Nothobranchius furzeri: one gene and its partners. The protein of the gene in region 4 interacts with the protein of the main gene of each other region in a biochemical or structural test. Links are inferred from orthologs where the notes say so. Each region holds a gene or a part of one and is shown on either strand. Other genes may lie near its edges.

Region 1 (4,258 bases), on a different chromosome or scaffold from region 4:
AAAACAATGTAAGTGAATTCACATAGATTGTTGTGTTTTTTTATGTAGGTGAATGCAAGCCTTCCCTTCCGTTGCTTTATGCTAAAACAGCTGGCTACAACAGGCTTTTTCTGACTTCGCTAACTCTGGAGAATCTAACAACACACACAAGTTTAGGGACAGAAGATCCCGATAAGAATATTAAAATAATAAAAATGCAGCAATAAATAAAACGTAACACTTGTGCTTTGTAACAAAGCAACACCCTGTGGAAGTTAACTTGGTGAACTTATTCACCCTGGACAGGAAATAATTGTACATAAGAAACATAAATAAGAATAAATAACTAAAAAGTTCCAAAACAATAATTTGTGTTCAAAGTTCAAAGGAGTGGAGCCACACAACATGAGTTCATAAAGCTGGCGCCATCTGCTGGATAGGTAGCGCAAAATCGGCCATATCGGCCGTCTTTTTGTCCGATAGCCGATACTGTTGATGACCCCAATATCGGCCGATATATCGGTCGGGCCCTAATTAGAATGCACAGTTAGTATTTGTATATCAAGTAAACGTGTTTTGTTTGTTTTTGTTTTTTGCAGATCCAGTCTTCTCTCGTGCACACATCAGTGAATAGTCAACACGACAAGTGAAACCTTTACTGAAACTTCCTGTGGAGACGTAAAGAACTATTTAAAGGACAGACATTTTACTCATTTTGGATGCATGCTGGTTTTCGATTTGAAATTTTTACCCCAAACCCAACTGCCACCAGAGTTTGTTTTGTTGTTTTTGGGCGAGTGTGGCAGATCCTAAACGAGGTTTCTGAGGGCTTTTTGACCCCTTATGTCTATGAAATCTGAGGTGACTTCTCTCTCTGCTCCGGTTACAAAATTGGCATTTATTAAATGGGAATCTTACAGATGTGATCGTGTAATTTACAAAGACAGAAATGTGGTTATGATGCACCAGACAGGAGCGTGTCCATTTCACTAACCTGAACTGAAAATCACAGCGATGTAACATCGGGCTTTATTTCCTTCCTTGTCATGTGACTTTGAACTTTTTGCTCGTTGTTCTTTTTGAACCCAGACTGTCTCTTCACCAGTTTAATGAGGTGAACTGTGGTTTTAGGTGACCTCTGCTGCCAGTAACAGACTGTCTAAGACTTCATTTTTCTTTTTTTGCATGCATTCAGCTAGATGTTAAAATGATTCGGTGAAAGGTAGAGCAGCTCTGAAGTGTACTGACACACGGTGGCAGGACAGCACCTGCCTCTTCCCGGTTCTGGTGTCAAAGTGGGCCTGTGCACAGTACAAGCAAATGCTTCCAGAACCCTGAAGGAATAAACCTGCCAGCAGAGAACGTTTTCCCGACCGGAGATCGAAGAGCTGCTGCGATCCGGGGTCAGACATTATAACCTGCTGCTTGTAGACCTCTGTGCTTCTACATCAAAGGTCTTCTTTAGTTCTGTGGGTCACCATTCAGATCATTCCAACAACTTTTTTGGACGTAAACCGTTTCACCCTGGACGAAGGCATCCGCCTCTGGAGAGAGGGCCTGCTCTGTCCTGGTGGAGGTGGAGTGGGGGGGTTTCTGTGTGCTGCTCCCCATCTGTTGGTGCACACTTCCTGTGATCTGTGCCAACGGGCCTGAGGAGCTGAGCCAGAGCGGGCGAGGAGGCAGAGGACTTCAGAGCCACAGACTCTGGGTAATTTCACCAACTCACACCCACACGGCTCGACCCCGGCGGTCCTGAAACGAACCGGGTCAACGGCCAACTTTTAAAAACTTAAAAACCATCAACACAAAGAGCTATAAATAATGCATGTATGCTGGAAAAGGTCTGTTCTGTAAAAGCCTTTGATTCTGTGCTTAAAGAGCAAGTCACCCCCTACCAGGGTCTTACTCCCCTCCCACTGCATGCTTGAAAAATGCAACAAACGTTGTTGCCTGGCAGACCGAGAGGGCGGAGCCGCTAACAGATACACATACACACAGGCTCACAACAGCATTGTGACATCATGCCATGCTGTAGTTCTTTTTTAAAACAGAGCAGTTTTGTTTACCTGTTTTCCCGCTACGTTTCGTTTGCGGCGGTTTTGTTTACCTGTTTTCCCGCTACGTTTCGTTTGCGGCGGTTTTGTTTACCTGTTTTCCCGCTACGTTTCGTTTGCGGCGGTTTTGTTTACCTGTTTTCCCGCTACGTTTCGTTAGTGGCGGTTTTGTTTACCTGTTTTCCCGCTACGTTTCGTTTGCGGCGGTTTTGTTTACCTGTTTTCCCGCTACGTTTCGTTTGCGGCGGTTTTGTTTACCTGTTTTCCCGCTACGTTTTGTTAGTGGCGGTTTTGTTTACCTGTTTTCCCGCTACGTTTCGTTAGCGACGGTCTTGTTTACCTGTTTTCCCGCTACGTTTCGTTAGCAGCGGTTTTGTTTACCTGTTTTCCCGCTACGTTTCATTTGCGGCGGTTTTGTTTACCTGTTTTCCCGCTACGTTTCATTTGCGGCGGTTTTGTTTACCTGTTTTCCTGCTACGTTTCGTTTGCGGCGGTTTTGTTTACCTGTTTTCCCGCTACGTTTTGTTAGTGGAGGTTTTGTTTACCTGTTTTCCCGCTACGTTTCGTTAGCGACGGTCTTGTTTACCTGTTTTCCCGCTACGTTTCGTTTGCAGCGGTCTTGTTTACCTGTTTTCCTGCTACGTTTCGTTAGCGGCGGTTTTGTTTACCTGTTTTCCCGCTACGTTTCATTTGCGGCGGTTTTGTTTACCTGTTTTCCCGCTACGTTTCGTTTGCGGCTGCTGTAAACAAAACCGCTCTGTGTTTTAAAAAAGAACTACAGCATGGAATTAGAGACACGACACAGCAAGAACACACCTAAGATGTTCAAAGAAAAATTGTGACATCATATGGTACCAACTAACGTCATAGTGGTACCTCTTAGCCAATAGCGGTGGCAGATTCAAATTCAAATGCAGTGCCTGACAACGGCACAACACCGACAGTTTTATGCAGAATATTTAAATTTGAACTAAGATGCGTTAAAGTGTCAAACTATCGACCGCTCGCGTCCACAGCACAATTAGACACTCGTTTATATAGTTTATCAGCAAAAAAAAAGTTGATTTGGGGGTGAATTGCTCTTTAAGCTTTATGCAGCTTCAGCACCTGGAGCTTGTTTCGTCGTGAAATTGAAATATTTGTAACTCCTGTTAAAACTGTAACATCTGGATTTAATTACAGATCCTGGCCATGAGGTTTGATGCCTCGATCCACTGACCGGAAACACTGGACCTAAATGGCGCAGCATGACTTTGTCCCTGCCTGGCTTAACTTCTCCACACCCCAGCCTGCCAAGGTACCGGGATGCTGCTGTGCTGATAGAACGATTGTAGTTTTTAGTGTGTGTGTGTGTGTGTGTGTGTGTGTGTGTGTGTGTGTGTGTGTGTGTGTGTGTGTGTGTGTGTGTGTGTGTGTGTGTGTGTGTGTGTGTGTGTGTGTGTGTGTGTGTGTGTGTGTGTGTGTGTGTGTGTGTGTGTGTTAGCCTCTCATCCCCCTCAGGAACCGACGTTGCGGTCAGTCTTTAGCCCCATTCCCACCTGTACCGGGTCGGCCCGGGCCGGGTAGCCCCAGTCGGCCCCAGCCTGGCCCGGTTGATTCCACACATCCTTGCCTTAAGCCCATGTGGGCTGATTCTACCCACCAATCAGAGGCTTGCTCTAATGGAAGGTGTGAATTTGCTGTCAGCAGTGGGCGTGTTGGCCCTGGTCGGCCTGAAGCAGTACCCCTCGGGAAGAGGGCCGAGAATGAGCCTTGGTTGGCCCGGGAAAATTCCAGGCCACCCAGATATGTAAACAACCTACGCTACCCGGCCCGGGCCGACCCGGTACAGGTGGGAATGGGGCTTTTGGTTCAGCAGACAGTCATGATGTTTGGTATCTAGCATCTGTCTGACGGTTCGAGTTCAGGTGGTGAACGTTCTCAGACAGCTACTGAGCGATGCTCGCCTCAGTGTTGGGTTATTTTGTGTATTATCATAAAATTTAGTTTTGGTTACCTAGTAGTGGTGTTGCCGTGCAAATTAGATTTGTACATGAACAGTTACGTCACTCAACTGGATTTTCGAACTGGTGAAACTCGGCTTGGTGTGTTTTTATAACTGGAGCAAATAAAAAATATCTTTGAGGGTTTGGGTTGTGTGATGTGGAAAGTGGTGGTTAACATCAGATCAGGTTTGCTGTAAGTGAGATTAAGGTTGGGCGATGGGACGAATGAATGGACCATCG
Region 2 (4,026 bases), on a different chromosome or scaffold from region 4:
TAAACTTCCACCTTCTCCACCGCTGTATGTTTTCCTTCCCGTGTCTTTTCTGTGTCTTGTAAAAGATTTGCATATTTTATTCTAAGGCCATCGATCTCAGCTTGTAGTTCAGCAATCTAAAGAAAAAAAAAGAAATGACCGGTGATTAAAAACAGTTTAAAGTTTTCAAACTTTCCATGTTCTAAAATATTCAGAGATTCTCTTTAACTGTTATTGAACAGCTAATTGAGAATGAAAATGCCCAGTTTTAGACAATATATCTGAAAAAATGTCATTAATTCAATTTGAAGAGCATTTTTATCTAAATTATTTTCTAAAACTAGAAACGAACCTGAAGCTGGCACCGTTCAGCTTGATGTTTCTTCTCTTGGGAGATGATTTTCTCCTCGACGAGTGCCGACTCACAATCAGTGAGCTGGTGCTCCAGCCGAGCCACGGATGCCCGCAATCAGAAAGAAACCAACGTTTAAATCGTAGGATAATAAAAAACGAGAAGGATCTGTTCAGCCCTCAGTATGATTAAGCAGCAGCGTGTGGTTTCATATAAAAGCATGTAGCAGCCTTTGTGTGCTCTGAAACATCTCCTACCTTGAGCGCTGCATTTCGAACAGTCAGTTCTCCGTTTTCAGCGAGGATTTTTTCAGACTTTTGCATCTTCATCTCATGAGCTGCAGAGAGCTCATCTTTCTTTTTCTGCAACCTCAAAGTCAAGTCTGCAACTTGACTTTGATACAGAACAAATCCAGTCCATCAGTAGGGACTCTGAGCCAACCCAGCTGCATACTGATGACTAGTTTGCATGATTTGGGTTGATAAATAACCAACAAACCTTTTCAGGACGTCTATGTGAGCGAGAAGTTTTTGTTTCTCGTCTGTCGCCTGCTTTTTCTGCCGTCTTTTGGAGTCTCTTTGTAAATGTGCTTCAGCCAACTCTGCATCCTGACGTTAAAACAAAATCGAATGTCACACTCGAGTCTTTACAACTCATATTTTGTGATGTTGAACTCATACCTTTTCCTTCAGCTGTGCACGACATTTGTCAATCGCAGCTTCAAACCTCTCCGTCCTAAGTTTTTGTGCCCGCGTCGCTTTCTTGAGCGATTCTTTGTCTTGTGCAGCTTTCCTGGTCATAGAGGCAATGGACGCTTTCAGCTCATTGATCTCCATCTTTTGCTCAGTTAGAGTTCTCTCCAGAGTCTAAAAAACAACAACAATAATGTTATTCTACATTAAATAAAGCTTCCAGAGGGTCAGCTTTAATGAAAGGGTTCTTACCCGTAATTGGACAGTCAGGCGACTGTTCTCAGCGTCCTTGTTGCGCAGCTGCCCTTGCAGGCGAGCGTGCGTCACTTCTGCCGACTTGGTCTTATGAACTCCACTTTTAATGTTCTTCTGAGGGAGCAAAACAAATGCTTTCTAATAAAATTAATTTCAATATTTTATTGATTACCTAGTGTTTTATGTGCTTACCTGCTGGTCTCTCCTTGTATTCATTAGCTCCTCGATCCTCCGCTCAGTCTTGTTCAGAATGATTTGTAAGCGCTCACGAAAGAAAACATGAGCAATAAGGTATAATTCAAGCATCACAATCCATGTTTGACTCAACTCCTGACTAATTATATCTTCTCCCATCATAGAATATGATATAATAAAACATTCACCTCATTTTCACTTTCAGCTTGTGTTATCTTCTTTAATAAGAGGTCTGTCCGTTTCTTTTCAGTAATTCGATTAACCTGTATAAGGAATTCATTATTAAAGCAGGTAAAGTCAAACTTATTACAATTTATATTTAGAGAAAAATTTTAAGTCATTTTTTTTTGCATAAATTCAACATTTAAAAATCCACCTCTGCATTTTGGTGTAGTTTTAACTCCTGTCGCACAGATTTATTTATTCGTCTAAAATTCTCCAACTTCTCCAGCAAAAGTCCTCTCTGCCTTGTGATTCCACGCTTGTCTTTGGAAGACGGTCCCAAATCCTGAATTGAAAGAAGATGTGATTATTTACAGACACGGTAAATGCTCAAACCAAACAGAAGAAGGTAAAAATTGCTCTTAATCATACAGTAAATTCATCTTCTATTGCATTTTTGAATGAAGCAAGTTGTATTCCTGCAGAGTTGGCAGCAGCTTCTGCATCAATCAGTAGTTTCAGAAAGGTGTGCTTCTCTTCAAAGCTAAATGAAAAATAGGGATGTGAGAAAATGTTGTAAGCCTTTTAGCTCCAGAGCACATGTTTATAAACATGTGTGTTTTCTCTGTGACCTGTTTCCTTTTTGTGGCTCATGACTGTTGTCTAGGTCACCACGCCTCAGAGTGAGATCATCACTGGTGGAACTGAATCCAGGAAAAGGGGAACTCTGGGGATCACCATCCTCTGGAGACATACCCCCCACTAACAAAAACATAACATAATAAACAAAATAAAACAAAGTGTTAAATCACTAAATATCCTGATGGAAATTCTATCTCATATGCTTATAAGATCGTTTTATTACACTTTACAGCCAATTTGACTTGAACCAGGAAGCCAGCGGACACCCAAGCTAACATGCTGTACTCCATAGCAACGGACAGGTTTGACTAAGCCGTCGTTTAACGCGTGTTAATTTGCCGAATAAGCTAAGTCACTAACAACCACGTGGTGACTAATGTAATTAAACTTAGTACATTTCAACTTTAAATCGTATATTCTAGAAAATTCTAATATTACTCACACTTTCGCTTTGTTTCTGTTGTAAATAATACCACTTCAACTGGGGAGGCAGCAGGGACGCTCAAGCGCGATTGGCCATCTTCGAAGTAACGTAATGACGCTACATGTTTTTCCCATCACTTATTGGCTCCTCGAGGCAAAGAGGGGCGGGACTACGTTTGATTTTAATTTCAAACAGCCAATGGACGAAGAAAGAAGGGGAGCTTGGTTGAAACCATAGAAACGACAAGGAAGTCTTGTAGTCGGAGAACATAAACGTAAATAAGCTAGTTTAGTATACTTTTATTCTTTTAACTTAAAATACCACACACATGTTTCTTTAAAGACGTACTTAGCAATTTATATTCACGCTGAAACGTTGATTTTCTTAGGGTTCTTAAAGCTAGCGTGATAGCTAATGCTCGGCTTCGGAAATGTTCAAAGTAAAAATACTCTTTGTTGGACCTACCGAGGTAAGTAAATGAACGTAAAACGTATATAGATGAGCATGTATTGTTAACTTCTTTAGTGATCTCGGTCCTCGAGATGTCCAACACGTTTGAGTTGATTCCCTGCTTCAACACACCTGATTCAATTATCTGTTCAACAGCTCATCATGCTCTGCAGAATCACCTACTCGTTGAAATCAGGTGTGTTGAAACAGGCAAACAACTAAAACATGCATAATACCAGCCTTCCAGCACCTTTACCCCAGTTCTAGTGTAAACTATTTTATGTTTATCTCAGTAGCACTTCAGCTAATATCGAATTCATATATTTATGACAGTCTAATAACCTTGTTATGACGGTGTATGGAAGCATTTAAAAGAAAAACGCAATGCTTAGGTTAATGAAATCAAAACTATGCTATTTTACGAATAAAGACCTTTTGAAAGTTTTTAATGTGTAAAAAGTAATTTGTGAAAAGACAAAAAGATTGGATGTTTTTGAATTCAACTAAATACATTTTATTTGGTTACTCGAGCACACTTTAATTGTACCTCAGCTATTTCCATTTTCATGTCACACCGGACATGTAGTACAAATAAAACTCAGATGCTTTTCAGCACCACTGGTCAGTTCATAAACATGCTTATATTGTAAAATGTGAGAACTAAACATATCTTTAAAGTGATCTATTCCTTTTTTCAGAGTGGGAAAACTGTTCTTGCCAATTTTCTCTCAGACATGACAGAAAACGTGGGCGGACAGTACCGACCTACTAAAGGAGTCAGGTACAGGCTGTTTTCCTTTCATTACCTTTCATTCAATGTTATTACCTCATATACATATTATACTAAAATGATCACATTCACTTTCTACTTGCTC
Region 3 (4,054 bases), about 50 Mb from region 4:
GTGCCAGCCTCTCAGTCACCGGTGCCAGCTTATCATTTATCAGATCAGTAGTTTGCTTCGGAATTTATATAGCCTCCTGCTGCTGGGCAGTAGTCTTAATTTTGGCCCCCATACCGCGCCATATTTATAAGCAAGTTTACATAAAGACTGAAGCTTCAAAGACACCATTACCTGTGTTCCACGAGTATGACAGATTTTTTGTTGCAGCCTCCATTTTCATCACTTTGTAGACTCAGACCATTGGACTGCTCCAGGTTCTCCAGCAATAAATCAATATTATCAGGTTCAATTCTCTAAAAAAAACAAACAAAAAAAACAATTCTACTGCTGTTTTTCTCCAATAGAAACATGAGGTTTAGTAAAATACTGATTAATTTATGTAAGATGGTGTTATAGATTACAGCAATAATAATTGGTAACAAATATTAACAACACAGAGTAGGTCTAAGTAAAAATAATGCAGCTGTCTTGTCGAGTGAGATAAAAAACTGTACTTTTCCATCTTCTGATGTCACTTTTTTCTTCTTTTTCTTCTTCTTTTTACCTCTGTCACCAGACTGTTAAAGAGAACCGAGACAGAACTGTTTTAGTCAGTCTGGAAGGTGATAAGGTATGCAGACATTCGGAGGTGGACCAGAGGTGCTCGCAGCCTCGCCTCTGTCAGTGAGCTCCAGGGCAGCTGTGGATACATTGTAGCTCATCACCACCAGGGTGTGAATGTGTGCATGCATGGGTGAATGACTGATTGTGTTGTAAAGTGCCTGGGGGGGGGGGGGTCCTAGGACACTAGAAGGAGCTATTGCAAAACGGGCCATTTATCATTCCTTTTGTTACGTCTTTACCTTAGCGGATACTCCCTCTTGGCTTTGAGCTAGCCTCTCAATTCCTCTGTTGTTGTCACTCTTTGCTTTCTCGCTTTTTTCTGCTCTTCCTGGTTTTTCTGCCTCGTCATCAGGTGGGATTTTCTCCACCTCATCAGCGTCACATATCTAGTTAATTAAAAAAAAAAGTTTACAGGGTAAAGAGGTGACTGAAGTAATAAACAAGTGTAACATCACAATAGAAATTATCTCATTCTGATTTGTATCTTAAAATAATATTTTCCCTTTTTAAATAAAACGTTTTGCATATGTTACCAGCATGTAAAAAAGAAGACTGACATGCAATAAAAACAGTAAATAAAATGGAAATATAACTTCATATAAGCCTTAGAACATTAGATATAAAATTTATCTTTACTAAATTATTCTACAAAATTTAAAAAAGCATAACATTCAGTAATGAAAACACAGATCAGGAAATATTCAGAAAAAGCTCCACTTGTGTAGAATTTTGTCATTGAAAATAAGCATTCTGTTATTAACCCTATACTCTGTTATTAACCCTATACCTCTGCAGAACTTTCTAATGATGTCTGTCAGAGGAAAAAACATGAAGGAACTATTATGAAAATTCAGGCTCAATAAAGTGATAATATGGGAATAAGAGTAATTTTTTCTAACTGAGAACTGGAAAATAAGGTTGAATTAACAGCTGTGCAAACTGTGTAAATATGTGAATAAAGAGTTGTTCCTGTTTCTAATTCACTGGGTATAATTAAATGTGTCTGTAAACTGTTTTTTGTGTTGTGTTACAACTGTAATCATCCATTTAACTTAATAGCTCCTAAGAAAAGTGGGTAAATTATTTTAGAAAAATGTGGTTTTAAAGGTTCCATATGAGGCTATTTTAAACATCTGAGAGCAAAAGTAGGCACAGCGTATGATTAAAAATTACCATTGGATGTCATTTATTTTAAATACGAGGTTTTTTTCCACCCATCAGACTGAATTTATACCCAGAAATAAAACTCCTCTTTCAGTGAAACTTTGCCAACACCCACTCTGACAGAATGTGCCTACAACTGCAGAGGTTAACGCGTCCAGCCCAGCACTCTAACCACTGGACTGCCAAATCTGTTAGATGACACCAGCAGCTAGACACATATCCTGTGCTGGCCAGGGGGAGACAGGTTTCAGACCAGAGACTAAACTTCCTGGAGAGGAGCAGGGCCTTATGACGAGGTTATCTAACAAGATTTTCAAGGTAAAACTCAAAATTTGCAGCTGAATCAGGAAAATGCATGAATGCCGCCAAAAATGTGTGTGTATTTTATTTCTTGTTATATTTTTTATGAGAAAATAATACCACATGGTAAAAAGCTCCAAAAGTGGATTTTCCATGATATGGCCCCTTTAATTCTGAGACAACTTTATAACTTAAAAAGCTAGAATGTCTCTGATTCTGGAGTTTCTTGTAGGACAACGCTGTCAGTGGTTTTCACTTGGTTAGCTAACCAGCCAACAACTTACAGCTAGCATCTGAGTAAACAAGCTACACAGAGCTGATGTAAACAGGAGAAAAGCACCCGTCACTGTTATGGACAGTTTCTGAAATATCACTATCTTACCAGCTCAAAGATGTTACTTGTGTTTTTCTGAACCTTGTTTTTCTTCGCTTTTCGACTGTTGTTATTAATGTTAGAAGTGGAAACATTAGCCGACTCGTGTGGCACTTCCTCGGTTTCGACTTCAGCCTGCTCCTCCGGGCTCTCTCCCAGATCCCCCAGGTCCAAGGCCTCCTGACCCCGCTGCTTCCCTCTGAGCCTCCGCAGAGCCCGGGTTGACATTCTGAACTGTTTAAAACTCACCCTAAATTCAGTAGTTTGATTAAAATCGTACCTTTGGTGACTGAAAGCCAACACTGAATGAGATTATAGAAAAAATGTCTGAATTTTCTTCTTCGTGTACTGTTGTTTCTTCTTCTTTTGAAAAATTACCTCCTAGACCTTCTACACTGCCCCCTGAAGGCTAAAATAAATAGTACCAAAATAAATGGTATGCTGCAGCTGTTGACTCCGATTTTGTAATTAGTGGGTATTCTTCTTTGTTTTTTATATTACCAATAAAATGGGAAAACTCTCGTGCACAAATGTGAAATATTCCACATTTTTCTATTCTATACTTTATTTTGCTATTTTAGACAGACAGAGAAACACAAATACCTTTTAATAAACAGATTATATATATATATATATATATATATATATATATATATATATATATATATATATATAGTGTGCATGTTCATATATGAATATGAATATGCACACCACCATGATGAAAACTATAATGCTTGTTCAGTACATGCATTTTAAGGTAACTATGGTCAAATATTGAAGACAATCAAATTATAAACTAAAAATGTAAACATAACACATAAACAAAGACCATGTAAATAAAAGAAGTGATGCCAAATCATCAAAACAACATATGCCAATTACAAAACAGGCAAAACCATAAGGACATGCTTTCAGTTAAAGACCAAAACTGTGTTTGGAACATGTAGTATAGATATGTTTGCCTACAAACATTCTGATAAAATAGCTTTTAAAACATGCATACGTTTGAATGACTGATATAAGAAATAAGTCATATTGTCTTGTGTTTGTGGACAGATTTATTCTGAATGAAATCTACTTTATAAACTACTTTGTTCCACCAAACTTTTACTTTAACAGTCTTACACAACACTTCCTGCTCACCAACTGTCATCAAAATATTGTATGTGACTAGTTCCTTGTGCTTAGAATAACAGTTGGGGAAAACACAGGAAAATGAACTCAGACTGTATAAAATGTTATACGTGTTGCAAACTACTTACAATTCTTGTATTTTAGTGCTAGGTCTCATACCACCCCAGGTTGATTAAGGAAGCACCTGTTATTTCCCAACAGGCTGTAATTGCTTGACTAATCAGCTGTGACTACAAAACCCAGAAACAAATAACTTTAAGACTCAAGAAATGGAGATTGAGCTGCTGAACCTGTTTGACTTGAAGACATATAAATACATACATTTTTTCCCTCAAAGGAAACTTATGAAAACAAAGCCAAGGAGAAGAAAACAGGCCCGAGAGGAGAAAGGGAAATTCTGAGTTACTGAAATACTGTTTTTGCCAAAGGGGGAAGTTGCAAATGTCGCTTCTTTAACAATTTCAAAAAGGGGAAAATAAT
Region 4 (3,500 bases):
TTATGTAAGAATTACATCCTGTGGTCACATGTGGGTACTGCAGTTCATTTTTCTAAACACACAAGTCACTTTCTCACAGTTTTATGACTGTTGCTAGCTACGGATCAGCACCAGACCATTCTAGATGATGAGTGAAGAAGAGTCAGACACCATAATCTGATGAGTGGATAAGCACATTTCACTGTAATAACCAGGGTCTGGTAACTGAAAAAGGAGCTTGAGACATTTTTACAGACAACTATTTGCTTCTAGGTTAACTGTTAGCATTGTTAGCTCAATGTTAGCCTCTAGCTTTGATATTGTAGTAAAACAAAAATGCCATGGCTTGTTAGTGGAACAAGAACAAAATTCTGGGTCACTCCTGTTTACTGGCTTTTGGTCTTTATAAAGCAAGGCTGGTGAGTTTCAAACAAACGTCTCAACTTCATGTCCTCTACAAATAGATTTTAATTTGAAAACTTTGTCTTTGGGGGACCCATCTCTTATTTTACCTACTTGTTAAAAAGCTATATTTCTCCAAACTGAAAACCATCAGAAGCTCTGTACAAAGCGAAGCTCATAAATAAACAAATGCCCCTTCAGTAACTTGACTTTATGTTGTTCTGGGTTCAGAGTAAATGAAGTGTTCACTGTTGTTCTGTGTGATGATTGGTAGGCGTGGAGGAGATGTGATGATCATCAATATGCAGTCGCATCAAAACCAGTTGAAGGGGTGTGTCGCCGCTGTCCTCAGTCCACCTGGACTTTCCACTCTGGGGTAAGTTCAGCTGGTTCCCCTTCAGTCGATTCCCTCGGTACAACGAAGGTACTATGGGACATCACGCCCTCGAGTGGCCTGGCTGAAGACACATTTAATCACGCCTGTAAGGCAAATGAAAGTGACGCTACACGGAGGCCCCGCCCTCCACTTATAAGCGACCGCGTCACTGTCATTCCTCAGTCCTTACGCTCTTCACCTCATTGAGAACACATCTGACAGCTAGCTGCGCTATTGAAAGATAGCTTAACCGCTCGCTGACTGGACTCTACTGCCTTCTGGCTAGCATTCCCACCCACTGAGCGCTATCTTTCGTGGCTCTTCAGCTTCTCCTCTTCATTCTGCTGTGTGTCTCGCAATGAGCACCGTGTCGGACGTCGCTTTACGCCCCTGTCTTCAGGGCTGTGGATTCTCTCTTCACGAGAAGGACTTACACAAAGCGTGCCCAGTTTGTCTGGGAATTCTCCACCCCAGGACAGCGCTTGTGGACCTGGAGGCGTGTGAGTTCTGTCTCAGACTCCGCCGTCCCACACTTGAACGGCGCGTGAAGCTCCTACAACGTCTACTGGGAGACGCTGCAGTTTCGCAGCAGGACCCCATGCTTTCCCGTTTGGCCCCGGCTTCGCCCGGCTCTGACGTGGACAGCCTAGTGATCGAAGTACCCGCTACTAGCTGGGCAGATCAGATAGAGATGGCGGACAATTTAACCGGACCAGACCTAGACGCTTCTCAGTTTCCACCTCTGGCAGAGGATGGAGACATTTTGGACATTTGCCGCGACGGTCAGGACTTACTCGAGGACGAGGAGGTCCTCTCAGCGGTGGAGTATTCAGCTCCGGCCGCTACTTCAGCCAAAGAGCTCCGAGATGGCACTTCTTTTCTCCCGTTCTGTCGGCGTACAGCGGGAAGGCTAGAAGTGGACTGTCCCGCTCCTCCACCTGCACAAAAGAGGTCCTGCTTCTCTGGATTTTACCTCCCCTCGGAATCAGCGGAGGTAAAGAACTTTCTGCCACTGTACCCGGATTTTGTGGCTGAGCTCACAGCATGCTGGGCCAAGCCGCTATCAACCCCCAAACTACGGTCCCGGGTTACAGTCAGTTCTCAGACCTCGACAGCGGAGAAATGGCAGGATTGGTTAACCTCCCTCCGATGGAGCCCTCTTTCGCGGCTTACCTGGCTCCGACCTGCAATAATGGAGTTAATGGACAAACTAATCTACCTTCCAAGCCATGCTACTTCTCAGCTGCTTAACTGGAGAAGATTTACTGCGTGCAGGCCTCCACTGCCTGCGTTCTCAGCTCTTCCACCGTGCTCCAGACCTACCAAGCACTTTGCCTGGCGGGCCTTGGAGCTAGGGTCCCACCGACAGCCCACTGACCCCCCTCATCAGTGAGATACGGGTCATGTCGGACTACATCCTGCGAGTGGCCCGAGGCGTCGCCCTGCTGTTGGGAAGAGGTATGGCCTTAACTATAGTGGCTCAGAGACACCTGTGGCTGACCCTTTCTAAAGTCCCCGACAGGGACAGGGCTAACTACCTGGATGAGCCTGTTTCACCCTGTGGTCTGTTTGGTCAGTCCCTCAACGCATTTCAGACGAACTTCGAGGCCCAGCGGAAGCAGACTGAGGTGCTACGCTCCATCATCCCCAGGCGGGAAGGGTGGCGCATGGCATCTGGGTCACCCTTTAGCCGTTCAGTTCATGAAAGGGGTTCGCAGACTGAGACCCATTATTAGATCGTCTCGCTTTGGTGCTGGAGACCCGATGTGGTTCCCCATTTGAGCCTAATGAATCAATTCAATTCAAAGATACTTTATTAATCCCAGAGGGAAATTAGAGTTTCAGTACACACAATTCTGAGGTCAGACATACATACATAGGCATAGACACATGACAAGAATTGGTGACTGTCGTCATTTGCAACCCCGGTCGCTCTACCTTAATAGAGATCAGAGGGGTTTATATATGAGGATTGAGTCAGGTGGAGGAAAAAAATGCACTTCAGAGTTACCCTCCCCGGGGAGGACAGCTTTGCTATGCAAAAAACACCTCAAACAGAAATGCAACAGACTTCAGACATTACACAACATAAGTGTCCACTAGGTGGGGAGGTAGGGTTGGGGATTCTCTACACATCAGTGCATGCAGTCGCAATAAGCAGCGCTCGTCACCTCCGTTTGGAAAGGGGAGGGAGGTAGTTGGGTTTAGAAAGCACAGTGACACCTGGAAACGATTCAACGGCCTTCACTGGTCGCTGTCCCACCCAGGCTGAGATAGGAAGACAGAGTTGCCATGGCGATGGCAGCATTCCACATTTCTTCTGAGGGGGAGTTGTCACTTCAGCCTCACAGGCTCAAGTTCACCAGATTCAGATAAGAACTTGTTTTGGGGCCAGACAGAGATAATTTCCTCTCTGTCTTAAAGTTCTGTTGGTCTCCAACTCCTCTAAATCCAATAATGGCATAATTAATCTGTCCCAATCCATGCTGGACCGTCAACTTTCTCCTTGATCAAATCCACCTTCTGTGCCAGAGTCTGAATCTCAGCCAAAGTTCCAAGCTTACGACTCATCTGGACAATTATATGAGTTTGTGCATTCACAGCACGGTGTAATCCATCCCTGAGCTCCAGGATTAAGCCAGTATTCCTCGACAGCTCATTAATTTTCCGGTAAGCCAGGTAACCATTCAGGCCAAAACCCAAGAAACCTGACACCAACACCACGAATATCCAGACGTCTTCA

Evidence for each region. The genes of interacting proteins can lie anywhere in the genome.
Region 1: the proteins of lrrk1 (region 4) and gpbp1l1 form a complex in vitro, tested with the Homo sapiens proteins (2 studies listed by BioGRID and IntAct, with this or other methods). The link is inferred for Nothobranchius furzeri from reciprocal best matches to the Homo sapiens genes LRRK1 and GPBP1L1.
Region 2: the proteins of lrrk1 (region 4) and outer dense fiber protein 2 form a complex in vitro, tested with the Homo sapiens proteins (2 studies listed by BioGRID and IntAct, with this or other methods). The link is inferred for Nothobranchius furzeri from reciprocal best matches to the Homo sapiens genes LRRK1 and ODF2.
Region 3: the proteins of lrrk1 (region 4) and tcf25 form a complex in vitro, tested with the Homo sapiens proteins (2 studies listed by BioGRID and IntAct, with this or other methods). The link is inferred for Nothobranchius furzeri from reciprocal best matches to the Homo sapiens genes LRRK1 and TCF25.

What each region holds. Positions count from the first base shown.
Region 1 is NC_091751.1:68,336,091-68,340,348, reverse strand, and holds the start of gpbp1l1 (vasculin-like protein 1), read left to right. Parts: upstream 1-1,458; 5' UTR 1,459-1,687; intron 1,688-3,215; 5' UTR 3,216-3,270; coding exon 3,271-3,330; intron 3,331-4,258. UniProt on the Homo sapiens protein: Possible transcription factor.
Region 2 is NC_091751.1:48,584,992-48,589,017, reverse strand, and holds the start of outer dense fiber protein 2, read right to left. Parts: upstream 2,801-4,026; 5' UTR 2,720-2,800; intron 2,580-2,719; exon of another isoform or gene 2,561-2,579; intron 2,398-2,560; 5' UTR 2,390-2,397; coding exon 2,268-2,389; intron 2,180-2,267; coding exon 2,068-2,179; intron 1,982-2,067; coding exon 1,850-1,981; intron 1,737-1,849; coding exon 1,662-1,736; intron 1,543-1,661; coding exon 1,471-1,542; intron 1,393-1,470; coding exon 1,276-1,392; intron 1,198-1,275; coding exon 1,012-1,197; intron 940-1,011; coding exon 830-939; intron 725-829; coding exon 590-724; intron 444-589; coding exon 332-443; intron 117-331; coding exon 12-116; intron 1-11. Other genes in the region: ift22 (intraflagellar transport protein 22 homolog), read left to right, coding at 3,132-3,170, 3,850-3,932. UniProt on the Homo sapiens protein: Seems to be a major component of sperm tail outer dense fibers (ODF).
Region 3 is NC_091749.1:57,592,672-57,596,725, forward strand, and holds the start of tcf25 (ribosome quality control complex subunit TCF25), read right to left. Parts: upstream 2,801-4,054; 5' UTR 2,669-2,800; coding exon 2,450-2,668; intron 990-2,449; coding exon 843-989; intron 558-842; coding exon 495-557; intron 294-494; coding exon 172-293; intron 1-171. UniProt on the Homo sapiens protein: Component of the ribosome quality control complex (RQC), a ribosome-associated complex that mediates ubiquitination and extraction of incompletely synthesized nascent chains for proteasomal degradation.
Region 4 is NC_091749.1:7,391,616-7,395,115, forward strand, and holds part of lrrk1 (leucine-rich repeat serine/threonine-protein kinase 1), read left to right. Parts: intron 1-655; coding exon 656-757; intron 758-3,500.